Schizosaccharomyces pombe: one gene and its partners. Changing the gene in region 1 together with any one later gene gives a genetic interaction. Each region holds a gene or a part of one and is shown on either strand. Other genes may lie near its edges.

Region 1 (4,266 bases):
CCCTTCTAATTTTGAAAGTAATAGATTTGCTATTGCACAGAAAGCTGATGCTGAAATTTATGAAGTTTTGAAAAAGAATCGCATTTTGCAAATTGACGGCACTATAGAAGATAACGAAGATGAAAAAAAGCCACCTGTTGATACGCCTTCTGACGAAGCAATTAACTCAGATTTAGACGATCCTGATTCAGATGAGGCTCCCGAAACTGAAGAAGGTTCTGATATTGGACAGGCTATCGTTCTTTGTCTTTATGACAAAGTGAACCACCACAAAAATAAATGGAAATGTGTGTTCAGAGATGGCGTAGTTGGCGTTAATGGAAAAGATTACTTATTTTTCAAGGCGAATGGTGAGTTTGAATGGATTTAAAATTTTACTTTAGGTGTTTTGCTTCAAAAAGTGATGGACGTATTTTATCTATCAATCATTCTTCTTTTTGGCCTTTTTGTTTTCTTCATGAATCATGTTTATAAGTGCATTTAAGTAATCTTCCTATCATATTTTAGTGAGCACATCAATCTATTCTACGGTTAAAAGTATTATTATTATTTCATGCAAATTTTATTCACTAAAGCAAGCAATTAAATTAGATCACAATGATAGAATTACAGTATATACACTTTCAAATTTTAAACGCTTCATACAGATGTACTGTAATTAGATGTAGTGTGGTCCGATAAATCATTAAAAATAGAAGTTGGCGAACCAAGGTGTTGCGTAAGCTTATCCTGAAATAAAGGTTGAAGCTTTTCTAACCACATTGAGCGCTTGTCCATCAATGATTTGATGACAGGAAAAGAGCCGCTCGTAGCTGAAGAGCCAATTTTATCAGTAACAATACGTTTCTTTTTAACCTTCAAACTTCTGTTACGTTTGACATACGCTTGTTCGATTTGTTTATCTAGATCATCCATCACATTTTGGAATTCTTGAAATGCCATTTCCTCAGGAAGCATCTGTAACAGCGCATTCCTCATTTTTTCGTTTTCATCAGAAACTACCTTCAAACGAGCATTCAAACTCCTTAAGGTAGCTGAAATTTCATCATCCTGTCGCTTTGACCAATCTACATCGCCATCATAAAGTATACCTAGTTGTTTTAGGGTGTAACGAAGGCGGTCCTCACAAATTGAAAGACTCGACTCTTGTATATCCGGTTGTTCTGTATATTCATTATTTCCTGACTCGATTCCATCAATGCTTGTACCAATTTTGCTTTTCTCGGATCCAGAATCGGTTTCCGCAAATTCGCCAACAGCAATAGAAGGTTTTTGCTCCTCATCATTCTGCGTGTAGCAAGGAATTAATGAAGCCATTAGTCGTTCAGTGAGTGGACCACACCTAACTTCCTCAGAGACGGTATCTGCCTCATTAAAAGCTTCAAGGGATCCTTGAGCAGAGGTTTGCAGGTTTTGGTAAATTGAGTTAGCACACAGGTTGGTCATTTCATCTTCCGGAGTTAAATCGTAATAGCGTTCCCCCAAAGGAGGAATATTATAGGAAGACGAAACGTCAAATCCTTTTTTTAAAAAAGCAATATCATCATCATTGAAAGCACGAAAATATGGGTCAAGTGACGAATAAAAGGTTGATATTGAAATCTGGTTATTTGGCTTGTTGTGAGAAAAATCATCAGTCGCCGGAGTTCCTGCCACCAACGATCGTACATCACTGGTTGGAAAGGAATCTACACATAAAAGCTTCTTTTTTTGTTCATAAGAGAAGGAATCGTCAACAATGAAAGATAGTAATGAACCGGTTAGAAGATCGTTTGCGTTTTTATATACCAACCCAGTTGTCTGTTCATCTTTACCCTTAACCGGTAAATCTAATTCATTCTCAATTGTTTCCACATTTTCGGGACTGATTTCTTCATTATGGGCCTCTGAAACTTTGGGCTTCTTGGAAACTTTTTCTAGCATAGACTCTTGTGGACTTTCGGAAAGAGAACGCTTTTGCTTTATTTCTTGTTCAACGTTGTCTTCTTTAAATTCTTCTACTTTTTCTTCCACTTTATTAACCGACGATTCGTCTTTTGAGGTTTCTATTTCAGAATCGACATGAGACTCTAACTCTTCTTTGCGCTGGCGAAAATATTCTACACAAGACGGTTCACACTCAATCATTTTTTGCAGCTCAAACAGAAGCCGCCATAATGTCGACACAGACGGTACAACACCAGGAGTTGACGTTTCACTCAGACGGGAAAAGGTCTCGTATTGATTTTCAATTTTAAAACATTGAGGAATCACCGCGGGTTTCGAATCAGCTTCATTTTGTTGTTCGGAGGACATCCCAAAAAAATTTAAATCGTGAACAATACAACATTTACATATGTCTCTCTCCCCCGAAAAAATTCATTACTGAGGTGGTGATTTTTTATACCGGATTTCGATGATGGCGTACTTTTAGCGAAGTCTAGTATACCACTTGTTACATTGTTATAACGGTGCTCAGAAATATTAATCAAGAACAGCGTTGAATTGCTACGAATATGATATCTCAAACCAAATTAAACAGCAATATATTTTATTCATAGTGAATCCATCGCAAAAGCAATATGCTTTGCGAAGTATTTTGAACACTATAAGTGATCTTTGGTTTGTTTAAAATTAAATTTATCTTAAATTTAATAGTTTCTAAACCAATTGGTCTAGCGCAAGAACTAGATAAACAGAGTTGCAGCTTCACAAGATATCATGAAATAGATCTACGAGTCAATGGAATAGGATTTGTTTATACTTAATTAAGAGGTAAATATTTACAAGAAAATGTTTTATCATTTTTTTTTTTTAAATTTTGGATGTTTTTATTGCTATTCTTTCCATTTATGGGACATTATTTGACTGTAAGTCTCAGCAAATTTAGTGGATTGAGATTAGAAAAAGAAAAAAAAAAAAAAAAAAAAAAAAAATTTTTCTCGGTTGTAGATTTTCTCATATTTTCCTATTATATATTTAATTTACTACAATTGTCTTTTGTAATTTTCATTATATCACTCAACAGAATCACATGAAGAAATATCTCACTGAACCATCGTAATTTCAACAATAACAATTGTCACATATATTAAATAACTATAAACTGTAATAATAATAAAATGTGAAGAAAGCTCAACCGAACTGGTGGGTTTAACTGAAGCAATTTCATCTGCTTCGCATTTCCAGCATTAACCAACCACCCACCGTCATAACCGCTAAGATTTAAATTCCCGCCATCACCCCGGTAGGTCAGCCACCATTTCCTGTATTTGCCATCGTATTGAAGCTTTAGTTGTATTAGAAACTTTGAATATTTTTTAAGTAGTACGATGGCTCAAAACTCAACCCAACTGGAAAAGGTATGTGATATTTTAAAGAGTTTTGGTGTTTTGAACCAACATAATGTTTTATGATTCAAAAAATTGATTTAAATCAAGTATTTACTAAAAATAATCTTTTTTAATTGGTTGAAAAGTTTGATGATTAAATGCAAAATTTTCTTTAGTTATCCGCTTGGTTTTTGGTTTTTATCTAACAAATTGCCGTCTTAGATTTCTGGTTCTTTCACAAGGTTGGCGGAAGCTTTTCAGTTAGCTTTAACCGCATGCCGTGAGATCGAAGAATCACTTCCTTCGATATTAGGAGAGAAGTCCGAGGTTTCGAAACCTTTTAAGCCAGCCGTCACTGATCCATCAAATGCGAAGAAAGAGATTAATATGGCAATTGAGTCTCCTTCTAAAAAAGCAACTTCACCTAAGAAAGCTACTCCTGCAGCAGTAGCTCCTGTTGAGGCAACCTCCGCAGTCGATACGTCGGAAGCTGTAGCCTCCATGACCCCAAACAAGCGCAAGGCTAGGGATCCTGCACAACCAAAGCGCCCTCCATCAGCCTATAATCTCTTTCAGAAGAACCAACGATCGGAAATCAAGGAGTCTTTGGGCGAGAAGAGTAACGATGTTAAAGAGGTGAATAAAGCGATGCATGAAAAGTGGGGCTCGCTATCTGAAGATGATCGGAAAACTTACGAAGAAGAAGCTTCTAAACTTCGAGAAGCCTACGAAGAAGAAATGGCTGCTTATAATGCTTCTAAAGAAAATGCGTCAGTTGCTGATAGTCGAGTTACGGCTGAGGAAACTTCTACTAAACCTTCAGAAGACTTATCCTCTCCCACTAAAAAAGATTTGATAGACTTTTCAGAAACCAGACCATTGGCTCAAGCTTCTAGAGCCACTCCTGACATTAAAGAACAGCATGCTAAGAAACCGAAGCGAAAGCACACCCGTT
Region 2 (3,107 bases), on another chromosome or scaffold:
TTATGCTTGTATGCTTTCTTTTAATCTAAGCATATTGTGTAGCAGTTTCCTTTTCAGAATTTTGCTCCTATCTCAACTTTTTATCTTTTCAGGTATTTAACTAGCCAATATGGTTTAGATGGATTATCGACTATTGGAGCTATTTTGTGATTTATAATTTGTTTATTAAGACGTTATCTGTTTGATTCTGAATATATGTCAGCAAAAATCAATTGGTCTTAATGTTTTTTTTTACTTTTACTTCAAATATGCCTATATTTGTCCGAAACTTTGAAAATCGGTTTTTTAACCCTGACTGGTTCAGGGTATTCATGTCGTGAATAAAACGATAGTTATATAGAAGATATTGAAATGAATACTTATGATTCCTTTTACCTTTTTATTATGCTAAACTGCATTAAACCCCTTTTATAATTTAAATAATACCATTAAAATGGTAATTTCTAAAAGGATTCGTATAGTAGTAAAGAAAAAGTTTACTATGCAAATATTAACATCAACAGTTGTTCTGCCTCTCAGACGATGAACGGCTTATTTAAAAATTGGCAGCTTTTAGAAGAATATAGGAAGATTAAAAACTAATATATATATACAAACACATTATTAATGAAGTGACTTAAGGTTTGTGTATTGTAATATGTAAGTTAATTTAAAAGAATCCTGACCTTTGACCAATTTTTGAGGACGCTATTAAATTTATAGATTCATAAAAAACATATAATAACTAATAATTTAATTTAATATGCAAATTCTTTGAAACAAACTGCGTTAAGGCATATGTTTAGCGGCAATGAAAATACATTTAGAAAAGAACGACCATCAAGGTGCATCTAGCATTTCACGATCTTTCTTCTGTAACACTGAATTTTGAAACTCCTTCCAAAGAGACGCGACATTTTCAAATTCCTTTCCAACACCGTTAATGCTTTCAAGATTTTTATTTAGAGCTGACATAAGATTCACAACTTCATTCATACTTTTTGAAATTTGTAAGGTCAAAAGACGACGCCTTCTTTCAAAATCTATATCATCAAAATCTTTATTTTGCTCATTTTGTATGTTTTCAGTAATATCCATATTTTCTGAGGACATGGTATGTTAATGGCTAGTGTCAAAGTCAAGCATGAGCCAAAGTTTATCATAAGGTTACAATCAAGTAGATCTTATATTAGATTTAACTATCTTCATAATTAAATGCCAAAATTGAAGCTTCCGTACGAGCATAGAATATTAGTCAAAAGAGACATGTTATGCATATTTACAAGTTGGAATAAACAAATACATTAAATATAATAATAATAATAATAATAATAAATCCGGATCAGTACTACAATGTAAATAGAAAAGGACTAAGCTTCTTTTAAATTACTTATTTCCTGAGCGCGGCGTAATCTGCGTTCAAGAATCTCATCTTCCTTAAGTAAAGACCTTTGTAAACGAGCTTCACATCCTACAACAGGGCATACACAAGTTGGATTTAACAGAGACAAAATAGCATCTTTTTCATAAAAATGATTACAGGCTGTCGATAATATTGGGTGAACAATTGGTTGTAAAGTTAAAGGGCATCTGTTATCAAAGGTAGCTGAATATACCATCACTTCATCTGCTTCCTGTTCTTCAGTGTTCATGACATTAAAAAATGTTTTCATAGAAGGAAAGTCAGAACCGTCTGTATTTTGCTCATGCCATATGGTTTTTTTAAATTCAATGTATTCTCCTTGTGTGCCATATTTACCATAGTCGGATTTTTCTTCGTATTCTTGAATGAGTTCCTTAAAAATTTGTGTATAAATATCCAACAAACTTTTATTCTAATTTTGTTAGAACAATTGAATATGAAACAGTAAAAAAATACGTCTAAATTGATGTTTTTACTTCATCTACATATAATAGAAAAAGTAGGAAAGTCATTTCCGTGGTACGTACTTCAAAATCACTTATATTTTCACTGGTTTTGTTAGCCAATGTATCCACCGATTGCTGCATCAATAACAATCTCTGCTTTGCATCCAACAGCTCTCGGATCCCGCTATCAAGCATGTCCAAACACTAAAAGGCAAGTGTTAGTCAGAAGTCATAAAGTAAGCAGCATGTCATATTATGTCTATTTTAGGCTCTCTCTCAATAGCCGGAAATAAGAGGAAGAAAAATATTAGTTAAACAATGTTTTTGTATGTATATTTGTACAGCGAACTTCTTTTTAAAAAACTGTATCTCGACATAACACCACTTTCGAGTTTTAAAAGCAATTCATATTAATTTTTTCCATTATCTTTCGTAATAATGGTACACATACCTCATTATTTTTTATCTCAGCAGCAACTAGAGCACATTTTATCACCTGTTTAATTGAATCGTCAATTTCCTTCAATTGGAAGTCGAAACTGCAATGATTTTGGTTTCCAGGTAATAAATTTTGACTTAAAGCCTCCAAGGAAGTTTTTAATTGTGCTTCACTCATTTACGATTCCATTCGAGAAAGAAGTAGTTACGACGTTTAATTAGTAGACAACGCAATTTGGGATTGAAAACCTATTAATTGCATATGAAAACTAAATGCCACAACACTTATTTCCTTAAATAAAAAAAGAATGTTTTTTAAGCAAGGGTAATAACCACGTTTTAAAATTTAAACTCCAGTACGTTTTTATGAAGATTGATGGCATATGTATAAAGACTAAATAAATTCTTATTTACTGTCACGTTTAATACAAATGAATGGGTTATGAAATATTCTCATTTGGAATTAGAATTTATAATGCATACTTCGGACAATTAACGCTTGACTTTTAGTACCTCTATTACTAAACCAACTATTCAATATGATAAACCAATAAAGGATGATTAAGGCCGTGAAATGTATAAATTAAATTATGTTATTTTCAAAATATTCCATAGATTAGTAGTAAAGTAAAACACGATTAACAAAACTATCCGAGTCTTGTCAATATTATTCATTAAAAAAGCAATCATGAACAAACTCTATCCGGAGACGAAAAATTAAGATTGATAATTAACAAGCTCTTCCCGTAAAAGTGGCGGAGTTGCCTCTATGTAAGGTATTTTATGAAGTTCACAATAGGCCTGGCCCACAGTAACATTTT
Region 3 (7,640 bases), on another chromosome or scaffold:
CTGCTTGTAATTGAACAGAAAAATCATCGTCTCCAATGTCCTCATCGTCCCAATTGTTTTCCCATAGCGTATCATCTCCAGTATCAAGCTCTGTATCTTTCATAGGCCAATCTTTTTGATGTTAAATAATTATTTCTTTAAAAGTACTTACTTTCTGTTGCGAAATCTTCAAACTCATCATCATCCTCAAGGTCTAAGCATTATGTTAGTAAACGTCTTTAGGCCAACGAAAAAATCATAGACATTAGCATATCGAATAAATAGTACTCGAAAGCCACTCTAAATAATTTGTAACGTACTTTCTAAGCTTGGTAAGGCCGCACGAGACATTCTAATTTATAAACGTGATTTGGTGTGAAAGGTGAACCCTGCCGTACTGTGATGTTTGAATGAACTTTTCACTGGTAACGATGTCTACTGAGTTACACTATTATATTTACAAACTGCATAAAGTTGCAGACTAATAAATAGCAGTTTGCCATTGATATTTCAATTAAAAACAAATTGTATTACTGGATTATTCTTATCTATGCTGACTCTATGTTCTGAATACCGGAGGATTTCCTAAAGTCAAGATTTGAAATGCAGGGTTTATTAACATTATAATTAAAGGTACAATAAGAAACGATTTTTAGACTAGAATTTAGTGATCTTTGAAATGTAGCAATCAAAATTGAAGACTGTAAAAGATAAACATATTCGAGCTTCAAACCTAAAATATTCCGGATGAAAAATGAAGAAACAAATTGGCTTTTGTATGACAGGCTAAAATCTACTTCATCTTTTCATACATGCTGATCAAGCTGGTATATTTAACCTCCTCCTTCGGCCAAAAGTAACATGCAAACATCCATAAATTCTTCCTAACAGTAGCTTTTTCTTCGGAGGGTGTATCATTGACAGTTTTTTCAATATGCTTTCCAATCGTTGTCAAACACTCAGTAAGTAACTTCACCAACTCCGCGCGTCCAAGCCCACTAGAATCTTTCCGAAGTCTTTTCATATGCTTACGGACTGGATACATCAGTTCTTTGCAGCGTGCCTTTTGTTCAGCATTTAGACTTACATTACCATCGTCTTTTTCAGATTTGACGGGTGAAGCTGTCTGGCTGCGAGACTGTTCCCTACTAGGTGTTTCAATCTTCGTGTCTTTAGAAGAAGGTTTCTTACGAGATTCTGAAATTGCAGGCGATGGTGTCCTAGTTGCACTCTCTATTTTTTGCGCAGATTTAACGTTAGGCTTGCCACTTTGTCTGCGATTAGCCGTCTGCTTCTTAGGTTGAGTTTTTCCATTAGTACTAATAGCGGGGCTTGATTTTATGCCAAAATTTTGGTGATGCTCACGTAAAGCACTAAGTAGGTATTCACCTCGACGAACCAAATGCACAGCTGAAGGTACCTTTTTCTCTTTATTTTCTTTATCTTTGGGGACAGAGTTGTCTGTTTGTTTTGTGTCTTCTAAAAAGATCTTGTCTTTCATTTTGAGTTCTGGATCATCTCGAATTTCTAACCAAGCTCCAAATCCATGCTTACAAATTCCAGAAAGCAACATGGAATCTTCTCGGGGTCCCCACTGACAGGACCAGCCGTGAACAGATCTAACGTGCATTGGAATTTGGAAGTTAGAATATCCTGACGTTGGCATAGCATCATAAAGAATATCAAGATCATTTAGCCTTTGTACCAATGTTTCAGCATTTATATTTTTTACACCTTTAAATGTAATGAGCAGCGCTTTACGAGATGACTTATTATTAGACTGATCATTAGATAAGTCCTTCTCGGCTGCTGATACAGCCTTGCGTGAAGCGGTTACTAAGTCAGCTGCAATCTTTTTTATTACGTGAGCATCTTGCGTAGTAAGATCAGCATATTTAACAATGTCATTGTAGCGATGCTCAAGGCTTCCATATCTAATCATAGCACGATAAAGCAACCGAATTTCCTTTTCCAGTAAAACCTCATCTTTAAGCATTTGCTTTTTGCTCTTCCTTTCAGAAGTTCCAGAGTAGGATGGGGATTCCACCGCAGAGCTAGGATAAGGACGATTACCTCGTCTACTACTAAGCTCAATTTCTTGCTTAAGCGCTTCTTCCTCTTCTCTTAAGCGGTCTTCCTCTTCAAACTTCTCACGTTCAGTTAGGGGTATAATATCATCCCAAGATACATCTGCCTTATAGTCTGTAACTTCGAACTGTTTCAAAAACTCTTCACCACCCATGCTGGCTCCACCCACATCATTGGAAGTATCATGATCTTCGGCATGTTCCAAAATTTCATCTAAATTCATATCCTCAAGCTTCTTTTGATTATTCTCTGCTTTAAACATATTAGAAGCTCCAAATTTCAAAATAGCGCTAAGCTCTTCAGCAGAAAATTTATCATTTTTGGAATTCTTTTGCTTGTCTGTAACACCTAATGAAATAATTGCATATTCAAGAATCATTTTACGACGTGCACGTTCCAAGACATCTTCTTCAATCGTATCTTTGGAAAGAAGCCTGTATACCATAACATGATTTTTCTGACCAATGCGATGCGCACGTGCCATAGCTTGTAAATCAGCTTGAGGGTTCCAATCGGAATCAAAAATAATAACTGTATCAGCAGTCATTAAATTAATACCTAATCCTCCAGCTCGTGTGGATAATAAAAACACAAAATCTGGGCTGTTTGGTGCATTAAAATGATCTATTGAAGTTCTTCGTACAGCAGCAGGGACAGTGCCATCCAGTCTCTGATGTGGATATCCCCTCAAAGAAAGATAATCACCAAGAATGTCAAGCATACGAACCATTTGACTAAAAATTAAAACGCGGTGGCCGTCTCGACGAAGACGTGATAGAAGTTTGTCAAGTAACACCATTTTCCCGCTGTTCATAATTAAACCTTTTAAGACTTCATCTCGTCTTCCTTGAGAGTTTATTTTTTGCATCCATGACTCTTCTACTCCGTCAAATAAGTAAGGATGATTACTTGCCTTTTTCAACTCCACAACTATGTTTAGTAAAGATATTTGACTTCCCGAACTTATGCTTTGAGTAAGGACACGGTAATTGCGAGTTAAAATATTTTTGTACCAGTACATTTGTAAGTCAGAAAGCTCAACACGAAGGATACGTTCAGACTTAGAAGGAAGAGATTTCTCAACGTCTTTCTTTAATCTTCGTAAAATGTAGGGTTGTAAATGCTCCTGTAAACTTCTAATATAAGCTTCCTGCTCCTCATCTGGTGCTTCTAAATTAATTTCCTCACGAATCTCAAACTTTCCTGGCATCAGGAAGTCTACCAAAGCCGCAAGCTCACGAATATTATTTTGTAATGGTGTTCCAGTTATAAGTAATCGATTTGAGTTCTTGAACTGAGAAAGTGCTTCATAAAGTGACGATTCACTGTTTTTTAATCGATGAGCTTCGTCAATTGCCATATATTGCCATTTTATATTACTAAGCACCGAGCGATCTTTGAGTACATACTCATAAGTAGTTAGAAGCAAGTTGAACTTTATTTTCTGAGTTCCATCAACATAAAATTCGTAATCCCTTATTACTTGCCTTGAGGTGGTATTTCCAAGGTAACTTATACAATTCATATCAGAAGCCCAAAGAGCTAATGTCTCTTGCCAGGCAGGAACTGTAGAAAGTGGAACAACTACAAGAAAAGGTCCATGCTGTCTTAAAGAATGTGCAAGATATGAAAGAAAAGCCACAGTTTGGACTGTCTTACCGAGACCCATTTCATCGGCCAAAATCCCATTTTCATTTTTATGCCAAAGATATGCCATCCAGTTGACGCCTGTAAGCTGAAAGTCACGAAGCTCACCACCGGTTATATACGAAGGCTGTTGCTCCAGTTTTCGATACTTAGGACGCGAATTACCATAGTTTGTACCTCTTGATGGACTAAGAGCACTTTCTTCTCTTTCTTGAAATGCCTGAATTTCCGTGGCAGCAATAGGCTCAATAATTGAGGAAGCTTCCCATGTGCAAAAATCATATAACAGCTGCTTCCATTTCACTAAGTATTCAACTGAGCCATCGGAGTTTAAGTGTTTGGCAACAATTCTGTCTACCTGCTTATATTCCTCGTAATTTTCACGCTTTCTCTCTTTTTCAATATCCATTGCTTCAATGTCTTCACGCGTAGTGGTCGGATCTTCTCGAATTTCTCGATCAAGAAGTATGACTTGCTTAATGTGATTGTCGACCTTTTTAGATCCTCTGATCATAGAAATGTTATTGTAAGGTTCCCATGTACAATGAAGATGAGAAAAATTAACCCATTTAATTAAAAACTCATAATCTTCAGAAGGTGTAGAGCCATCGTGTCCTTCAATAAGTCTATGATCTAAAACGACATCTATAGCTCGTGTATCTTCAGGTTCTTCAGAAACTTCAGTTGCGTACTCATACATCTCTTCTTCCTCTTCTTCTTCAAACGATTCAAAATACGCGTCTTCGTTATAGTTAACACCTTTACTATTTCTAGAAGAAAATCGAATTTCATCTTGAACGTAGGTGTTTGATTTTTTTTGCCGAGATCGCTTTTTGGGAGTTCCGCCATAAGAACTATCATCTGACTCACTTTCCTCAGAGGTGACAGATTCAGCTTCATCGTCTAAATCGCGAATTGTTCGATGACGAGAAAAAGATGAACCATTTCTAGTACCTTTACGATGCTTGGATGGGAACACATCTTCTTGATCATCAGTGTCTACATATCTTCCTGGATTACTACGAGTGCGACCCTATAATGATTAGCATCTAAGTAAGTTTCATAATGAATAAAATAATGTGAGACATACAGAACGTCGAAGACCGTAAAGCTCTGGGTCGAGCCATTCAGTAGATTGTAATTTGCGCTTGGAGGCTACGCCGCTATTCGAAGGGGATTCGGACATTTCCTGCTTAAGATTAGGGGTTTCAGTTTGAACGTGATCCAGCTGCTCAATAGCCTTAGATGATGACAAAGCAAGTGCTATAGCACTTGTACTCATATCAACTAAAACAGAAGTTAGAACCAATTTCGCAAATTTCTTATTGCAAAACTTTTCCGAAATTGAAATGCTGAATAATTGTGAAATATGTAATAGGCTTCCATCCAACTTCTAGTTAACTGAGAACTGCCAGATGCCACTTTAAATGTGAATATTTATAACTCTTGACTAACGACTATATTTAGACGAGATCCGAACAGATTTAAATAAAGAACACATATTAACTCCCGTATCTTTTCGATAGGAAGCACTATATCGTTCATTTTCGAAGAAAGAGCAATTTTGAATAAAAGGTCGAATGCCACCAAAAAGATTGTATCACAAGAGAAACAAGCAAAACATAATAAGAAAGAAGGTTTTTAAAAAAAGAGAGCTACATTCAGTGCATTGAACAATGTAGGTTTAACAAAAAAATGCGACACGTGGATCATTCACATATTCAGCGTCAAATTCGGAAAACGAACTGTGGCTGCAACAAAATTTAATAAAAATTTACTTACGCGTTATTAAATAGAACGCTTATAGCAGTATTTTGCTATTTTAATAGCAACTTGCTAGTTTTGTTACAAAAACAATTTTTGAGGTACTGGTGGTAGAGGTTCAAATAGCTACAGGCTGTATCCGCTACTAAAGGTAATCAAACTGTATGAATACAAAAAGCGAGTTGAGAGAACATTAAAATGCATGTGTATTAAACGCACTAACAATTAAATTTCTAACTTGAATACTAACGAATTTCACCTTCTTCACTAGATTCTGCATCATCAACAATATTTTTAACAGCCGGTTGTGTAGCGGTAACATGAGAGATTGAATTTTCCTGTACATCCTGCATCGTATTAATTTCATTCCTATTACTTTTTGACGCTAAGTCAGCAGAATATTCCAACCTTCCATCTTCGTATCCGCTATGTGGTCGGGCACTATTCGCTAAATAACTTTCATCTTTACCGACATCATAATAACCTCTTCTGTTTTGGTATTGCTTTTCCAATTCCCGTTTTTCTCGAAGCCGTCTTATATATTTGTCAAAAGCAGCCATCCTGTGTTCCTCGGAATGGAGCGCAGCAAATTCCGGTAGAATAGAAATTAAAGGTCTAATTTCATCGTAAGAAGCATCGGCAGAAATTGGAGGTTTAAGGTATTTAATGGCACTTCTGAGATTATCAATTTTCCTTCGAATGCGTCGTTCATCAGCACGCTTTTCCTCAGCTTTTTTGTGGATCGCTTTATCACGTAATCGATTAACAACTTCTTCAATAAGGTCTTCAGTTACTGCCTCACTTTCCTCTCGATCTTTAAGCTTTTCTGATAACCTTGCTATAATTTCAGGAATATTAGATGTGTCATCCACAGATATTTGCAATACTTCAAGACAGTCCAAAACCAAATTACGCTTTTCCCGATACATATTCTCCAAATCAACGATCGTATCCCAAAATAAATCTAATGGTGTAGAGCCAGATTGCCCTAGTAAGTTAAGATATCTTGGATCATCCTTGATTATGGGATATAATTCTTTCCACTTCGTGCGTAATGTAATCTTCTTTTGCACGCGTAAGTCTTGTAATAGCGCACGAAAGGCATCACGATTTTTCCTTTCTATACGATGCTTTTCTTTCTTCTGCTTTTGTTTGTCAAGAATATATTCGCGTTCCAAATGCTTAACATGATCTTCAAATGCTACAAGAGCATCTAATTTAGAAAGATATTTCATATTTGAATTCCTTGTATACCTTGGATCTTGATCAAATTTTGCTTGCGCAACGCTCCAGCGGGTGTAAGGCTCGAAATTCATGTTTCGCAAAAGCGAACAAAAATCATCCAATGCTTCCTTTCTGCGATCCTTTTCCAACTGCTTTTCATCCTCTAAAAGCTTTTGCTTATATTCAAAAAATAGTTGTTGTTGTTCAGTTTCAGAAGAAGTAGCGTTAAAAGCAGGATGAGAAGAAAATTCATTCTTCACAGTACGCCACAAAGTATAAGAATGAATTTTATCACTACTTTTTAGCATCTCAATAAACTCCTTCCTAATCTTAGTTACTCGGTTCTTTTCTGCATCACTTTGATCGGTCAAATAGTTTAAGATGTACGCATCGAAAGCACATTTCCGATGCCAAGGATCCTTCATGACATAATAGCCCTTAGCATCACAAAGCTCTCGGACAGTCTGCTCCCAAGTCCAGCTTGGGTTGACATTATGAGAGTCTAAAAATTTAAAGAAAGCGCGCTCTGCGGCTTCATAGGTATCATAGTTTTCGTGCTGATAATCATTAGAACGTTTTTGGCGCTTATCCTTTTGTTGAACAAAGTTTATAGTTCGTTTATGACTGCCTTGTGAAATTTGTTGGCTTTGATCTTTAGCTGGTTGACTTGAAGGAGCAGCAACATCCGGACCATGCCGTTGAATGCTTTGAACAGCTGGCTTGTTGTCATTGCTTTTGATTTTAGACGACAAAGCCTTTTTTTGCTGTTCCGGTTCATCAACAAGGGCAGCTTTATATTCATCAGGAATATCCCACACTGATTCACGGGTATTGACATTATACCAATACTTTTTGCCATCAGCGGTGGCATATTCTTTCCAAGCTAGTTTCGAAAGCTTTTTTTCAAAGTCATTCATTAACTCCTCTGGTTTTTCCCA
Region 4 (6,154 bases), on another chromosome or scaffold:
CGCTCCTCGTATTCTCGCCATCATAATCAATGAAAACGAAATTATGCAAAAGACGGCTGTAAATGCAGGTTTTATTGATGCTGCCAAATATCTTCTAGAATACGCAACTAAAGAAGAAGAGAATGAAATTAATTTTTTATCCGATGAATTGCAATCCAGCGTTTGTTTTAATCTTCCTGCTACCAAAAAGGAGCAAAAAAACCTAATCTTAGAATCAGTTTTGCTAGCCGTTGCTGCATTAACAACTTCTAAAGATGAATACAGAAAACTAATAGTTGATGCTAAATATTTGCCTGTTATCATTAATGCTTTGAAAATCAATTCTAACAGCGTGAAAAAGGCTGCTTGTGAATGCTTATTAAGTCTCTCGAGAAGCGTTTACATTTTACGTACGGGCCTTGCCGATGCAGACGTGAGCGAACCATTAATAAAGTTGCTTTCTGACCCGGATACTAGAGTCAAATCGACTGCTACGTCTGCCATTTGTAACTTGGTACTTAAGTTTTCTCCTTTGAGAGAGAAATTCCTTACTACAAATTTCATTGATACTTTGATATCAAATATTAGTACGAAAGATAGCAGTCTAAGAAAGAAGACCGTGTGGGTTCTGCGGCATGTTGTATTTGGTGATGATGAGACGATCCAGCTTGAACCTTTAAAAAAGATCGGTGCTTCAAAGCTTGTGGAACTTTGCAATGACGAAGATCTGGGGGTCCAAGAGCAAATGTTGCAAGTGCTGCGAAATTTTACATGTCAGAAAGAAGAAAGCGTGGATTTTCTTTTGAAAATGGTTCCTATGGAGTTGTTAGCAAAAATTTTGCTTGAAAAATTAGAAAGTAAAAATCCTATCCTAATTGAACCCAGTATTTACATTTTGGTGCACATCGCTGCCAGCGATGGTGAGCTTAGGGATTCTATCCTAAGGCAAACCAAACTACTACTATTGGTGAAGGAAATTATGCTACAAGAAGCACAACGTCTCAAGCCCGAGCAAATGTCCACAAATGTGTCATCTCCGGAAAGTGACAGTGAAATGGATTTGCAAGAAGATGATTTTGATAGGGAAATGCGTCCTCCTTTCGATATTTATGAAGAGGACACTTATGAACCAAACTCCGAAATTCTGTTGGCCGGAATTTGGCTCTGTATTAACATTCTATGGCCCAAACAATGTACATCTCCAAGCCAGGAAGATAAGGAAAGAGCAAGTATCTTACAAAATCTCGGATTTGGAGAATGTTTGCAGATGCTACAAAATCACTCATCTCCTGATGTAAGGGAACGTGTCAAAGATGCCTTGATGTACATCAATGTAACCGATTAATTTCTATTACGCTTTTCCGTTGTCTTTGCCGACTTGATTGGAACAGTCTAACAAATCGGAGCCATTTTCGCATTTAGTATTTCTGTATGTATAAATGTGTGCACAACTCTTGCAGCTGAAGTTAACAGGTTGTTGGATTGAAGTACTTTGAGAATGATCGTATATAAAAAGATTTAATGATTTATCAAAACGAATAAAATAAGTATTATGAACATTCAACTTATATGTATGCGGGATAGTGTAAAAACCTATTTAACATTGTAAAAATTTTTTAAGGAAAGTTGTACTTTGACAAGAACAATTTCATTTACATGTATTCTACTAAATTTATCAGAATGTTGGGAATTTTTTTGTTGGTATATAATGCCGAAAGGAAATTAATCGAATATGAAGAAAGTGGCGGAACTAAAAAACAAAACCCACAAACTAATTATTTAAATAAATATAACATAATAACTTGTTAAAATAAGAGTAATACTAGAGAATGTGTGCTCAAGTGGAAAGCATGTAATACTTGCACAACGTGATGGAAGAGATTAGTGTAGTAGCGCAGCGACAGCTTCCAACAACCAACTAATCGAGGAGGAAAGCAAAAGTGAGAATTGAAAAGAAGTAGTACATTAAAGACCTTTAAATTCTTTGAAAGAATTGCCTTTATAAAGGTAGTCTATTGCATTTCAAAGTACTCTCAAGATGAATTTAGAATTTTCTTTTGGAAATTTGATCGCCAAAAATACCGAGAATTCGACTAAGGAAGAAGGAACTTGGGAAGTAAACAAGCTCATGAAATTTAGTTCAGAGGAGGGGAGGTCTTCCTCTGATGATTATATGTTTTCCTCTCCCGATTTTGAAAAAGCCGGAAACGGCGATGCAGAAATGCGTGAATTTTTTAACTTCGATGGATTGCCGGATCAAGGTCTAAATTTGCCTAGTATAGCTCCTCCGTCTTTATCCCATGCCAGTTCACCTAACTTATCGAATTCACAAGATGAAGCGGAATGTTTACCGTCTGATCGTCAGCAAGACTACATCAATCCTAGTTTGCATTTGAACAGAACGGTGTTTCCTACTCCGCAACATTCTATTTCTGATGCTAATTTTCTAGCTAATACCGTTGATCAACCTTTGGGAGATAATCCCATGTTTGGAGAGTCGGATGTTTATCTTTTAAAAATGGATCCTATGAAACAAGCACCTTATGAAGCTGGATTTAATTCTGTAAAGTCATCGGGCGCCATCGAAGATCCATTACAGTTTAGACAGCCGATTACCATGTTGGAAACTCCCTTCAACGAATCTATTAATACTCTTACGCCATATGCCGAAGATTATGCATTTTCCTCTTTAAATACGTCTGCACCGCCTCTTTCTAATAAGGAGTACGCGTTCTCAGTTAATCATTTACCAGCTATCAATGAGCACAAATGGAAATCTCGGGTGGAAACTAACATGCTTTTTGAGTTGCGGATCAAGAGCAACGATAATCAAAGTGTTCCGTTTGAATATCTTCGCTTGCCAAGTTGGGCTCACCGTGAAGACAAAAAGCGTTCTTCGAAACCTCAGCCTTTGCAACCCGATCCGGAGACCGTCATTCATCTTGTACCTACCGTTCTTGCAGGTGACAAAAGCTCAGTTGTTAAGACTTGCTGTACTCGCTGTTTACTTCGAGAAAGGAAGCGCAATGCTCGATCTCAAGCAACAAAGGATGCTTGTATGCCTAACTATACTAAACTGAAGGCTTATGAGCGTAACATGACTGATGCCTCTCCCGAAGAAAAGCAGCAGTTCAGGATCAAGCTCTTAAATCAATTTCCCAAACTTGAAGACATAGATGAAGATAGAATGATAATGGTTTTTACTGGACCTGAGTACGTTCGTTTGCAATTGGATGGAAATGAAAGAGTTGCTCACATCAATGCACGGATTACATGTTACTCGTCTCATCAATCATGCCCTTACTTTCACATCATATGGGACTTATACTCCATGTCACGTTTGGTGGATCGTCTTGTTTTTCCAGAGCCTGTTACCGTTCTTGATGATCATAAAAGTAGAAATCTTACGAAATCAGAAAAGACTGGTAAGAGCAATTCTCAACAAGCTCCTTCAAACCATGTTCTTTCTAAAAGCAATACTGTCCCCAATCTTGTCACTGGTTTCCCTACCCGTTCAGATAATCCACCAAATGAAAAGCGTCGTCGAACATCCTCGAGTGAAAATTCTAGAGCACTCGACATACAACTATCTGCTAGTGACTCGCATTCACCTAATTCGAAAAGCACTTTGAAAAGTGTTGAGGGCTCAGCCTTTAGTATGAGCAAATCCCCTTCTGTGCTGAGTATGACTACCCCAAGCGGCGTAAGTCCTTCCATTTCAAAGAATGGTTTCCATGTTGTTCGAGTTCCCAGCGATGCCGCTGGTTTCCAACAAAGACAACAGCAAGAGGAAGGAGTGCTTGAAGCCCATACAAATGAAAGTGCCCCAATAGCCCCATTCCCTTACTGTACAGATGATTTCTCGTTTTCCGTTGAAGAAAAAAGTAGTGTCAACAACTTGCTTACACAATTTGATGAGGTTGCTAAACCTGATTTTGTAAGTACGCCGATAAAAGAAAATGTTGATTCTTCTTTTATAAACATGACTCCACCTGATGTTTCACATGCTCCCTTAATATCTCGGATTATTCCTAATAAGGGTTCAATCATGGGAGGTTATGAAGTTACAATTCTTGGCGCGAACTTTTTTAATGGATTAGTCTGTTTATTTGGTGACAACCCAGCTGCTGTAACTTTTTCGTGGAGTGAGTCAACGATTATAGCGACTTGTCCTCCTGCAACTAATGCTGGAACCGTTCCTGTAACCTTTCAGAACTATAATTCATCTTCTGAAGCGCCAGTAATGTTTACTTATGAAGATAATTTAGATAATGAACTTTACAAATTAACTGTTCAAGTTTTAGGCTTAAAACTTACTGGATCTATTCAAAACCCATTAACGTTATCCAAAAAATTGTTGAGTTCATGGCGCGACGATTTTGCTCAATATATAACAAATTCTATTAAGCAGCCTCCTAACAGTGAATCTAAAGGTCAGTCTAAAAAAACCTTATTGCATGATAGCAATATGGAATCGCTTAAATCGGTTATTTCGCGGATTGTGAAAAAAGACAGTAATCAGTCTGATGACAGTGTTGAAAGTACTATCCTCGCAGCATTTGCTCTTGTTACAGATACAACGACACCATACCTTTCTGATTTTAGTCTTGTTAACGAATCTGGTAGGTCACTTCTCCACCTTACTGCTGCCTGTGGATTGTCTAATGCTTCGACGTTCTTATGCAACGCAGGATGCGATGTTAACAAAAGGGACGCACTTGGCTATACACCACTGCATTATGCTTCATTGTATGATCATAAAGACATATGTGTTAATTTACTTTCCAACGGTGCCAAGCCTGATGTTATAGGAGCTAGCGGTAAAAAACCGATAGACCTCTCCTCTTCTGAGCCTATAAAACTGGTCTTTAAGGAAGCAAATAATGAACAAGCCCAAAGTATTTCTCGCTCTCTTATTAAGGATTCTGAAGGCTCCATTAATACAAATGAAACCTTAGAATCAACCAGTATTGTTAACGAAATTGAGGAATCTGCTGTTCAGACCAAGTCATATAGTGAAAGTATGTGGAATAAAACTGTTACAATGTTTCCATCGCTTCAAGAACTACCTCAGAATTATATGAGTGAAGTTCCATCCATGATGCAAAAAGCCATGCTGTCAACCTTAAAAAGTATATCGGCCATTCCCGATGATGTACCCCCTCCTTATTCTGAGTTTGCTGATGATACGACAGCGCAAGCTGGTTCTAGTAAAAGAGATAGCGCTATATCTGAAGATCCCGATCATCACAAAAGTGTTTGGTGGTCTTTGAGATGGCAATCTCGGCTTGTTGGTCGTGGAAAATCTACTGCTCTTACTCCTGAAGAAACCAGAGCAATACAGGAGCAGGCAAAGACACTGAAAAAGGCAGGAATGGACTTTATGCTATTCTCTTTCTGGTTACCTGCCCTACTTTTGCTGAGTATCTTTGGTCTTCGAAGCTATGCTCAAATGATCGGGGGATATTTATATCGCTGCATAATTGGCATTTAGGTTTGACGAACAACCATGCATGTTTTTTTCTTTCTTTTAGTTTTATTCTTTTTTGTAGATTATGAGCAAACTACTGTCAAAACTTAGGTATTATGACAATGAAATCGTATATATTATATTCGATTGGATCAATTTTTTATTATATTGAAAGTAATTGCTTATTTTGTAAGTTAAACTTACATGGGTTTAAACGCATAGAGCAGGTTGGCGCTTTTAAAACCAAAATAGATCGTTGCAGGTTTGCTGTTCTGGATCGTGAATGCAATACCTTAGGAAAGTCTTTTAATAAGCTATCGCTTTTTGCATTGCATTCTTTTTCTAAACTGAACGTTAGATTAGCTAAAGTAAGCGTCTTGAGTTTTCGAGATGAACCGCATACATTAAAATTTTTAAGTACCAATTGGCATGAACCGGTATGCGATCTGCTTATTATAATACTAGTAAATCTTGATACTCGGCAAACTCTTTCAATAATAGCCTAGCAGAAACTGGGATATGTCTAAAGTTTTACAACTGCGCTCAGCTTAAGGACTTTACGGCGATCCATTTAATAGCTAGCCATGAACACTCATAACCTCAAGATTGAGGAGTGGGTCATTCTTTTGCTTGATAAAGAAACAAATTCATTATTGGTAAAATAAAACTGAATAACCCTTAGTTCATCCTAGGAATTTGAAGAAG

The links.
Region 2: mutations in ngg1 (region 1) and dad1 together harm fitness more than expected from each alone (negative genetic interaction), as found in Schizosaccharomyces pombe (2 studies listed by BioGRID).
Region 3: mutations in ngg1 (region 1) and hrp3 together harm fitness more than expected from each alone (negative genetic interaction), as found in Schizosaccharomyces pombe (2 studies listed by BioGRID).
Region 4: mutations in ngg1 (region 1) and mga2 together harm fitness more than expected from each alone (negative genetic interaction), as found in Schizosaccharomyces pombe (2 studies listed by BioGRID).

What each region holds. Positions count from the first base shown.
Region 1 is NC_003423.3:1,586,048-1,590,313, forward strand, and holds ngg1 (SAGA complex subunit Ngg1/Ada3), read right to left. Parts: upstream 2,352-4,266; 5' UTR 2,296-2,351; coding exon 640-2,295; 3' UTR 545-639; downstream 1-544. Other genes in the region: transcription factor TFIIA complex large subunit Toa1, read left to right, coding at 1-370; upstream binding transcription factor, RNA polymerase I specific, Hmo1, read left to right, coding at 3,312-3,341, 3,534-4,266. UniProt on the Schizosaccharomyces pombe protein: Component of the transcription coactivator SAGA complex. SAGA acts as a general cofactor required for essentially all RNA polymerase II transcription. At the promoters, SAGA is required for transcription pre-initiation complex (PIC) recruitment.
Region 2 is NC_003424.3:3,088,234-3,091,340, forward strand, and holds dad1 (DASH complex subunit Dad1), read right to left. Parts: upstream 1,108-3,107; 5' UTR 1,093-1,107; coding exon 820-1,092; 3' UTR 551-819; downstream 1-550. Other genes in the region: Smc5-6 complex non-SMC SUMO ligase subunit Nse2, read right to left, coding at 1,350-1,814, 1,930-2,052, 2,300-2,464; taz1 (telomere length regulator), read right to left, coding at 3,004-3,107. UniProt on the Schizosaccharomyces pombe protein: Component of the DASH complex that connects microtubules with kinetochores and couples microtubule depolymerisation to chromosome movement; it is involved in retrieving kinetochores to the spindle poles before their re-orientation on the spindle in early mitosis and allows microtubule depolymerization to pull chromosomes apart and resist detachment during anaphase.
Region 3 is NC_003424.3:5,375,783-5,383,422, reverse strand, and holds hrp3 (CHD family chromatin remodeller Hrp3), read right to left. Parts: upstream 5,600-7,640; 5' UTR 5,497-5,599; exon of another isoform or gene 5,008-5,496; intron 5,002-5,007; 5' UTR 4,997-5,001; coding exon 4,805-4,996; intron 4,748-4,804; coding exon 773-4,747; 3' UTR 510-772; downstream 1-509. Other genes in the region: proteasome receptor/ubiquitin ligase adaptor Dss1, read right to left, coding at 1-111, 152-193, 300-330; U1 snRNP-associated protein Prp40, read right to left, coding at 5,724-7,640.
Region 4 is NC_003424.3:4,123,195-4,129,348, forward strand, and holds mga2 (IPT/TIG ankyrin repeat-containing transcription regulator), read left to right. Parts: upstream 1-1,888; 5' UTR 1,889-2,017; coding exon 2,018-5,473; 3' UTR 5,474-5,611; downstream 5,612-6,154. Other genes in the region: protein Gid5, read left to right, coding at 1-1,324.